Linked DNA regions of Schizosaccharomyces pombe. Changing the gene in region 2 together with the main gene of any one other region gives a genetic interaction. Each region holds a gene or a part of one and is shown on either strand. Other genes may lie near its edges.

What was found. A genetic interaction does not mean that the proteins touch.
Region 1: of spb70 (region 2) and rad54, a mutation in one rescues a mutant of the other (synthetic rescue), as found in Schizosaccharomyces pombe (one study listed by BioGRID).

The regions. Positions count from the first base shown.
Region 1 is NC_003424.3:3,679,860-3,685,311, reverse strand, and holds rad54 (DNA repair protein), read left to right. Parts: upstream 1-2,046; 5' UTR 2,047-2,166; coding exon 2,167-4,725; 3' UTR 4,726-4,952; downstream 4,953-5,452. Other genes in the region: EF-1 alpha-binding zinc finger protein Zpr1, read left to right, coding at 211-1,590. UniProt on the Schizosaccharomyces pombe protein: Plays an essential role in homologous recombination (HR) which is a major pathway for repairing DNA double-strand breaks (DSBs), single-stranded DNA (ssDNA) gaps, and stalled or collapsed replication forks.
Region 2 is NC_003421.2:285,362-290,246, forward strand, and holds spb70 (DNA polymerase alpha B-subunit), read left to right. Parts: upstream 1-1,867; 5' UTR 1,868-2,278; coding exon 2,279-2,544; exon of another isoform or gene 2,545-2,585; coding exon 2,586-3,564; exon of another isoform or gene 3,565-3,606; coding exon 3,607-3,915; exon of another isoform or gene 3,916-3,954; coding exon 3,955-4,125; 3' UTR 4,126-4,343; downstream 4,344-4,885. Other genes in the region: GTPase Ria1, read left to right, coding at 4,551-4,646, 4,702-4,885. UniProt on the Schizosaccharomyces pombe protein: Accessory subunit of the DNA polymerase alpha complex (also known as the alpha DNA polymerase-primase complex) which plays an essential role in the initiation of DNA synthesis.

The DNA of each region.
Region 1 (5,452 bases), on a different chromosome or scaffold from region 2:
ATATTTTGGTTTAAAAAAGTAAAATTTTTGCATTTTACCATATTTTACTTTAGTTTTAATTTTGTTTTTCATTAAAGACAGTTTATATTGGGTCATTAAGGAAAATTTTTTCCATTCAAGTGAAGACAAATTTTATATTGGTACAAGTTATTCTGTACTTGTCCTTAAACACATCTAATCAAAATAACGCTAAAAAGAAAATTTGAGAGCATGGCGGAAGAAAAAAAGGAAGAATTGTTCACAAGTATTGGCAATGCTGCACAAAATGTGTCAACAGCTGAGGATAGGGAAGGAAATGGTGTTCAAGAAGTCGAATCGTTGTGTATGGAGTGTGGAAAAAACGGTACTACTAAATTATTGTTGACGGTCATTCCATACTTCCGTGAGGTTGTTTTAATGTCGTTTGAATGTCCTCATTGTGGGTTTAAGAATGCGCAAGTTCAACACGCTGAGACAATTCAACCGGAAGGAAGCAAAATTACTTTCCATGTTGAGGATAAGGAAGATTTAAATCGGACAGTTGTAAAGAGCCAGGAGGCTATTGTCAGTATTCCTGAAATTCAGCTAGAAATCCCGGGAAGGTTAGGCCAGTTAACTACCATTGAGGGGATTCTGAGTAATGTGGTGGATGATTTAAGTAAAGAACAAGAATCTCGTAAGGAGTCTGCTCCTCAGTTATATGACCAAATAAATGCTTTCATTGAGAAAGTGAATAGTCTACGTTCTGGATCTGTACCATTTACCATCACAGTTGACGATATTACGGGCAACAGCTGGATCGAGATGAAACCTGGCCGAGATGGTGACCGATGGTCTCAGGTTAGCTACAAGCGTACTTTGGAGCAGAATACGAAGCTGGGTCTTGTGGATACTGATCAACCTGAAGACGTCAAGACACAAACAAACAACGCTTCTAATACACTTAAACATGATGCTACTGCTGTGGAAGTCGATCCCAATGAGGTACATACCTTCCATGCAACTTGTCCCTCTTGTTCACATCAATGTGACACCCACATGAAGTTGCTTGATATTCCCCATTTCAAAGAAGTTATTATCATGTCTACTGTTTGTGATCGTTGTGGATATCGTTCCAACGAAGTAAAAACTGGTGGTGAAATTCCACCCAAAGGTCGAAAAATTACTTTAAAGGTCATGGATGCCGAGGACTTATCCCGTGATATTCTCAAATCTGAAACCGCATCTCTTAAAATTCCTGAACTTGGACTTGATTTGTTCCCAGGTACTTTGGGTGGACGATTCACAACCATTGAAGGTCTTCTAGCTCAAGTTTATGATGAGTTATATGGCCGTGTGTTTTCTCAGGAGACCGATTCTATGACTCCTGAGCAAGTCGCTAACTGGCAACAATTTCTCTGCAACTTGACGGCTGCACGTGAGGGTGCTACTCAATTCACTCTTATTTTAGATGATCCTCTTTCACAAAGTTATCTGCAGAATTATTACGCTCCCGATCCAGATCCAAATATGACTATTGAGGAGTATGAACGTTCATTCCAAGTAAATGAGGAATTGGGTCTGAACGATATGAAGACAGAAAACTATGAAAAGGATGGAGGTAAGAAGTAAAGTTCGAGGTTTTTGTCAAATGTTAGGGAATGTATTTAATATAGTAATACTATGTTTTTTTGGGGGGTTTATTGACTATGAAGATATAATAGTATAGTAGATTAGCTAATTTTTATTTCCCGTAATGTTTTTGTTAGAGACTGATGCTTTATTATTTTACTTTTAGTTTAAAATAGTTACTTGATTTATCGCAAATGTTATGAGGCTAATAATTCGAAGTATTAGTAAACCATAAAATTTGCTACAAGAAATGTTAGATAGTGAAGCTAAAATTATTACCAATAACAAACTTGTAACACATATTTAGCCGATACCAGAAATAATTGATTCATATTTCACAATTTCATTATTTGTATACCATGTTTAGTGAAGGGTAACAATGGTGCGTAATTTAAAGAACGCGACACGCTATAATAGTAATAGAATTTAATTTATATATACATCTAGATATTTCTCAACACATACCATTGGTATAAACAGCACTTTCCTTTTTTTTTTGTTTGAATCCTTATCCCTCTTTTCCTACCCTTTCTTCTATTTCAGTAATCTCTTTTTTAATAATTGCTAATATATTTAATGATTCAGCAACCAACAACTGCTAAACCTAGAATTTCTACTTCTTCAAAGTTAAATACTGTTTTATCAAAAAACAAAGAGAATGTTCCTGGAAAGTTGTTTAAAAAGTTTAAATGCCCTTCTTTAGTGATTTCAGAAAAGCGAAAAGAGCTTCCTTTACGCAAAAAGCCAAGAGTTAACTACAGCGAATATGGTTCTGTTGATGGGAAGTATGATTCAGCTTACGTATCTGAAAATGTGTCTGGGTTGGCAACCATCAAAGAAGCTAATCGATTAATACTAAATCATGAACGACGAGATCCCTCAACAGTCATTAAGAAACAGTTCTCTGTGCCTAAACCTATCAAGGGTCATGAAGATATATCTAAACTGTGTGCACATCGTCCACCTCCTACACTGGGAATGAAAAGGAAGGTGGATTTTATTCCTCGTCCCCTTTACGATCCTGCTGATGAATTTGCTATCGTTTTATATGATCCCACTACTGATGCAGATGAGATCATTCCTGATATAAAAGAGGTCTTAGCGGAAAAACGTAAAAAAGATGAATTGTTAAAAAATCGAAAAGGAAAGAAAGAAATTTCTGATAGTGAGCCTGAAAGTGACCATGATTCATGTGTCTCCACTGACACAGTGGCTAGCTGTTCTACCGAGCAAAGTCTCATAACCTCTAATACCTCAAAGCATAGAAGACCAAATAAAAGTTTGAAAGATCTACTAGGAATTCAGAAAGAAAAACCTCCACCTCCTCCTGTTGCTGTTGTCATTGATCCAAAACTTGCTCGTATTCTAAGACCTCATCAAATAGAAGGTGTCAAATTCTTGTACAAGTGTGTAACTGGAAGGATTGACCGTTGTGCAAATGGATGTATTATGGCAGATGAGATGGGACTTGGTAAGACACTTCAATGTATTGCTTTGTTATGGACCCTTTTAAAACAGTCTCCTCAGGCTGGAAAACCGACAATTGAAAAGGCAATTATAACTTGTCCTTCTTCTTTAGTCAAAAATTGGGCTAATGAACTTGTCAAATGGTTAGGAAAAGATGCTATTACTCCATTCATATTGGACGGTAAAAGCTCCAAACAGGAGTTAATCATGGCTTTGCAACAATGGGCATCCGTACATGGACGACAAGTCACACGTCCAGTGCTTATTGCCAGTTATGAAACCCTTAGAAGTTATGTTGAGCATCTCAACAACGCAGAAATTGGAATGCTTCTTTGTGACGAAGGTCATCGTCTTAAGAATAGTGATTCTTTGACTTTTACGGCATTAGACAAGCTAAACGTTCAAAGGCGTGTCATCCTTTCTGGTACCCCTATTCAAAATGATCTAAGCGAATACTTTTCGTTGTTAAATTTTGCGAATCCTGGGTTGTTAGGTTCAAGGCAAGAGTTCAGAAAAAATTATGAAATTCCAATTTTAAAAGGTCGTGATGCTGACGGAACAGAAAAAGATAAGGAGAATGGTGATGCTAAGTTAGCTGAGTTAGCCAAGATTGTCAATCGGTTTATTATTCGTCGTACGAATGATATTCTCTCCAAATATTTGCCTGTTAAATACGAACATGTTGTCTTTTGCAACCTTTCCGAATTTCAGCTTTCTTTGTACAAGCATTTTATTACCTCGCCTGAAATCAATAAAATCTTAAGGGGGACCGGCAGTCAACCACTAAAAGCTATAGGTCTGCTAAAAAAAATATGTAATCATCCTGATCTATTGAATTTAACTGAGGACTTGGAAGGTTGTGAGGCTCTATTCCCTCCAGGATTTATTCCCCGTGAGCTAAGAGGGCGCGATAGAAACATTGACTCCTCTTTATCAGGTAAAATGTTAGTGTTGGAACGAATGCTCTATCAAATAAAACAAGAGACAGACGATAAAATTGTTTTAATTAGCAATTACACCTCCACGCTTGACTTGTTTGAGCAGCTTTGTAGAGCTCGCGGTTACAAGGCTCTTCGGCTAGATGGTACTATGAATGTAAATAAACGACAACGTTTAGTTGACACATTCAATGACCCGGAAAAGGATGCTTTTGTGTTTTTATTATCTTCTAAAGCAGGTGGTTGTGGTATTAACCTTATTGGCGCTAATCGTCTTATTCTGTTTGATCCCGATTGGAATCCAGCCGCCGATCAACAAGCTTTAGCTCGAGTTTGGCGTGATGGGCAAAAGAAGGACTGCTTTGTTTACCGTTTCATAGCTACTGGAACCATCGAAGAAAAGATATTCCAAAGGCAGTCTCATAAGCAATCTTTGTCTTCTTGTGTTGTGGATGAAGCTCAAGATGTCGAAAGACATTTTTCGCTTGATAACTTAAGGCAGCTGTTTCAGCTTAACGATCACACAGTCTGTGAAACTCATGAAACATATAAATGTAAACGGTGTCGTGATGGAAAACAATTCATCCGAGCCCCAGCCATGTTATACGGTGATACTAGCACATGGAATCATTTTACAAATCCCACATTAGACCGAATAGAAGATCACTTGCTAAAACGTGAGGCAGGAAAACAGCAAGTGAGTACCGTTTTCCAATACAAATCTCATTAATTTTTACGTGTTTAATTACGCTGCTCTCTTCACAAATCCTCATATTTTCATTTAGTTTGATTTGTCTTTAAACTACTCTCACCTCTCTTTATCCCTGTTTGATTTGCTATTCGATGCATAAAACAATATCATGAATTTAATTCCGGTTTTTAAAATATAGTTTTTAATTTAATTAATATCCAACCCTCAATTGTATCCTACCAAACCTCAATTACTCCTTGGTAAGCTTTGTGACAAAATTATTACGAATTTACAGGTATGCTGAAATAAATTTTTTTTTTTAGAATGTTATATTCAATTGTTAAGAGCATATAATTTGTCATATTTTTCTGAAACATTTGAAATTGCATTTGTTAGTATTCGAACCCGTGACAGTTTTAGCACTGCTTTTCTATATTAAGATTGGGATGTCTCGAATTTTTGTTATTAACCATGTAGCTACTTTTAGGCAAACTGCATACATCTTATATGCTTTTTGTCACTCTAATAGCTTATATAAACATTGCTTATGTCTAAATACTTTGGACGTTCAAACTCGTGAATGTTCCAATATAGGTAGAAGCTTACATAACCAATTATTTATTTAAGGGTTGTTTCATTTGCAATCTTATATATTACTTCTAAATATTATATATGCATATTTACTTAACAAAAATAGTAACATTCAATAGTAGTTAGACCCGGATTATAAAGCCAATCGACAAATATCAAGTTTGCTGGCAACGGA
Region 2 (4,885 bases):
GGATACTCGCTCGACACGAGGTAGCTGATGTCATTTGAAAGTCATTAAACGATCGCCATTGGCGGGAACCAGTTGCGCGGAGCATGCGGGAAACCAAGGTGATTACGAAGGATGCTAAAGAGCGTAGGGATTAGGCATCGCTATTTAGTATAAAGTAAATTAATGGGTTTCACTAATACAGACAGTGATCTCGGTAGATTTGAACGTTACGTGTGTGTAAAAATGTAATATCGATCTTTGTGGTAAGCTCGCAATATTTTTTAGTGTATAGCATTCCTTGAAAATTAAGATGGATTAACTATACAAGCAGCAATTGCTTTTGAGGTATACAATCAAAAGGCCATCATCCTACCCATTTTATATGAAAGCAAATGAATAGACTGCTGACGGGGCAACACTTAAAGAGTAAAGAATAAATACAATACGTAGGGCTTGCCTATCAAGTATAGATGGTGTAATCCTTTTTTTCTTTTTCGCTTTTTGTTTTTTAGTACTTTTTCACACCTTTATTGAAACATATCTTTATTTTTTTTGATAATCATACTCTATATTTTGTTGCTTTATTTTTAGTGTCTTTTCTTCTAAGCTCTCTTTAGTAGATAAAATATCACCGATTAAAATGATTACAAAAAGTTGGGCTTTTCATTCTCTATATATACATCTGCTATATACGTATTGAGTTTGCTACCAATTCTTAATAGCCAGCCCTCTATTACCACGAAACATCTGATTCAGAAAGTCAAAATCACTTTCTTCCGTGATTAATTGTTTATCTTGCTGCTTCCGCTAAACTGTTACTTTGCAAACCTGACATTCCATAGTATCGGAAAGTTTCTAAAGCTTTTGTAAACAAGACGGTCGTTCAGCCCAGGCTTATTGCTGACGATGTTAGTTGTATTATTAAATAATTTCTTTGATGAAAAAAGAAAAACTCAAACACCATGGGAAACATTTAGTAGTGTATGAGAAGATTTGTTCTTTCACATAGCTTAATGTTCCAGTATATATTTATTGAGTTGAAAACGAAATAATTTTTAACTTAGATATTGTTTTTTTTTTTTAAATTATTGTTTGGCTTCTTATTTTTTTTATTGCATTTTATTTTATTTTGGGTTACTTTTTTTTTTTTTTAAGTTGAAAATTAAACAAATTAGCCAAAAAAAAAAGAAATCGAATATGCTGAATTGAGCTATAGGGTTGGATCCTATTAATTAGCAAAAATTCCTATAGTTTAAAAAAAAAAAAAAAAAAAAACAACGAAAAAAAAAGAGAAAAAAAGAGAAAAAATATAAAACATATTTCTACTTCACTTTGTACAATCCATATTGTCTAGTCAAGTAGTTGCAAGCCTGTTCTGTATAGCGAATGTCAACTACGCAGTTTATAATATTTAACGATACTTAGGATTGCAGTGAGTTTTCCTCGTGATCAATTATATTGCAATAAACAGGTATTTTAAGTAGCAGCTGGGTATATGTATTCTGTTATGTAGGTCTATTGTTAGTTATCACTAATGTAGCTTATAACCGAACTGAGGAACGAAGTTCAGTTGATTTCAGTTTATAGTATTTGAAAAAGTCTTTAATTGTAACTGATATTTATATTATCATAAAAGGTACTGTAGCTGTCTTTTTAACCTACCATGTAAAGTAGATAGAGCAAATAGAACATTACAACATGTGACATATAGTGATACTCGGACACATTGTAACATAGCTTAGTTTCAGCTGACAAAACAAAAAAAATACATACTACACTATTTATCAGTAAACTAATATTACATAGTAAAAGCATCTCGTTAAATGTTTAAGGAGGTTTAAAAAACACATTAAACCACATACTACTGCGTTTCTCCACAGTATCCACGGAGCGTCCCAGTATATCCGAGTTTTTATTAGAAGAGCGATTTAAGTAGTTGCTTTAAGAAGATACACTCTCCTATCCTAAAAAGGTTTACTCATAATTATTGGTGGGTACCTCTTTAAGTGGTTGAACTTTCTGCTATACGTCGTTTTTTCTATCTGTTGTTAGGTTGGAATCGCGTAAACAAATTAAAAAAAGCAACTTCGAAAATCTATCACTGGGCACTTTTGGACTGGGATTGCTAGTACGTGTACTTGTATTTTTTATTCTTATTTATTTCTTTTTCAGGACCCACATCACAGTACAAAATTAGTCACTTCAAATTAATTTGCTCGTAATATTCCCAGGTATTCATTTACTGTCTTTTTTTTTGGGTATCTTGTTTCATTTTCAACTTCATTCAATCTTCAAAAAAATGGAATTTCCTATCGATGATGAGGAATTGCTAGATGAGCGAAATAAACTTCTCCAAATTTGCAATATGGACGAGCAAACAATGTTCTACAAGTGGGAGTCCTGGTGTTTGCAACGAGGAAATACACCAAAACTCGACCTTGACACATTCAAGGCCTTTGCTAAAGACATGAAATTTCAAATGGAGAGGCAGGTAAAAGCCACACTTAAACAGAATCCTGAAAGAAAATCGATAAAGCAAATCCCGGGAATGAATATTGATAGCATGTGCGTACATTAGCAAATGGTTTTAACTAACAAATATCTAGACTAGGTCTACCAGTGAAGACCACCGCATCAGGCGACTCGTTGATGCAAGAGTCTAAACCATCTACCGAAACTTTCGAATTGAATTCCAGTGACGCTGGAAGGGTTTTGGAAGTTTTAAATAAAGAATTAAAAATTGTAACTTCAAAACCTTCAGCTCCATCCAAGCTGGTTATCGTAGCGAATTTTGATCTCAAGGCATTTAATTACAGGATCATGTATCAAAAGCTTTATGATTCTTCTGAAGTTCTGGATGATCGCATTGAGCTTTTTAGTGCATTAACTTGCAGAAAATACAACATAAGTGATGAAGATTTGGCAAATCCTAGCGAACTTACTCAAGAACCCGTTGTAGTTGTAGGACGAATTGTTGTCGAAAGTACCAATTTAGGTGGAAGACTCAACCAAAATAGCATTTTACTTGAAAGTTCAAGACGTCTAGGCGCTGGTGTTCGAGTTCGTTTGAAGGTGGATGATCTACCAAGTTACTCAATATTTCCTGGTCAAATTGTTTCAGTTAAAGGATCCAATCCTAGCGGTAACATGTTTATCGCCAAGGAAATCCTTCCTATACCTCCTTTGCCGTTCCCAAGTTCATCTAAACAGGAGCACGCTACCTTTGTTGCTAATACAAATAATCAGCCAATTTCTATATATATTGCATCTGGACCTTGGTCTCTCCGTGATGATCTCTCTTTTTCCCCTTTAAAATCAATGATTTCATATGTAAATAAAAATCCTGTTGACTTGGTTATTCTATGTGGTCCATTCTTGGATATTAATCATATACTAATACGTACCGGAAACATTACAGGAACGTCTGCGACTTCTTTGGAAGAGTTGTTTAAAGAGCGTGTCACACCCATATTAAGCCAGCTAACTTGTCCTTGTATTTTAATTCCTCACATCAATGATGCTGCTTCAGATCATCCTGCATGGCCACAGGATGCATTTAATCGGGTGGCCTTAGGTCTTCCATCTGTATGTTAAGTTGTATAATAATTTTTATTGACCAATCCATAGAACTTCAAATGCTTCCCGAATCCTTGCATGTTTTCCATTAATGATGTCGTCTTTGGTGTGTCAACCAACGATATACTCCTTCACACATCTAGAGAAGAGTTATTTCGTCTACCTTCTCATGGTAACTTATTTGCACGTTTGGTTTCTCACGTACTTCACCAAAGGCATTTTTATCCCTTATTCCCTGGAGGTTCTCTTGAAAAGTGCAACCCTTCAAACTTAGATATCGCACATCTTAAACTTGGTGAATTCCTAAATACTATGCCGGACATACTAATTTTACCAAGTGATTTACGTTATTTCGTAAAGGTATGTTAATTTTCTACTTTGTTTTAACTAATGTTATAGAACGTTGAAAACGTTGTATCATTGAATCCTGGTAAAGCGACCAAAGGGATTAATTTGGGCACTTTTGCAAAATTAACTATCGCGCCATTAGAGCTCGGGGATAATGGTTCTTCTAATCATTATTCACATCGTGTATGGCTTCGAACCAAGGCAGAAATTTTAAAACTATGATAATTATACTCTCTTTTTCTGCGGAATTTATTGAAAATATAAAAAATTCAGCGTTAAATATCATTGGTTATCATTATTTATGTAGATGTCTACCATAGACCGTTAGAATTAATTAACTTTTCAGCTTTCATTTTCTATCTATCGCTATTTTGGTTTTCTTCAAATTTTGTTTGCAAAATTACTCATATGTTTATGTTGTTAATTTAACCATTTTCCTCAAATGTCTAAGACAATCTCTGATATATCTCAAATCGCTACTCGCGAACTTTTAGTCGTTGTTTTATAGTTGAATGAGTATTCCTTTTATACTGTAGTATTTGAATGTTCAACATTTTTTCGATTTGGACTCTAGTCTTGGTGTTTCACATCTCAACCTACTTAGTCACTACAGTTGACCTCCAACATACATAGGGGAAGTAGTGCAAATGCCTGTTATTCCTCCAGAAAAGCTTGTGTCCTTACAAAAAAATCAGGAAAATATTCGTAATTTTACATTACTTGCTCATGTAGATCATGGAAAGGTATGAATTTTGCAATTTTAAACTTTTTTGAATAGTTGCTAATGATTAATTAAAGACAACCCTTGCAGACAGTTTACTAGCTTCGAATGGAATCATATCTAGCAAACTTGCTGGTACTGTTCGTTTTCTTGATTTTCGCGAAGATGAAATTACGAGAGGTATTACTATGAAGTCTAGCGCCATTTCATTGTTTTTTAAAGTTATAAGCCAAAATGATGAAAAAAGAGTTGAAAAAGATT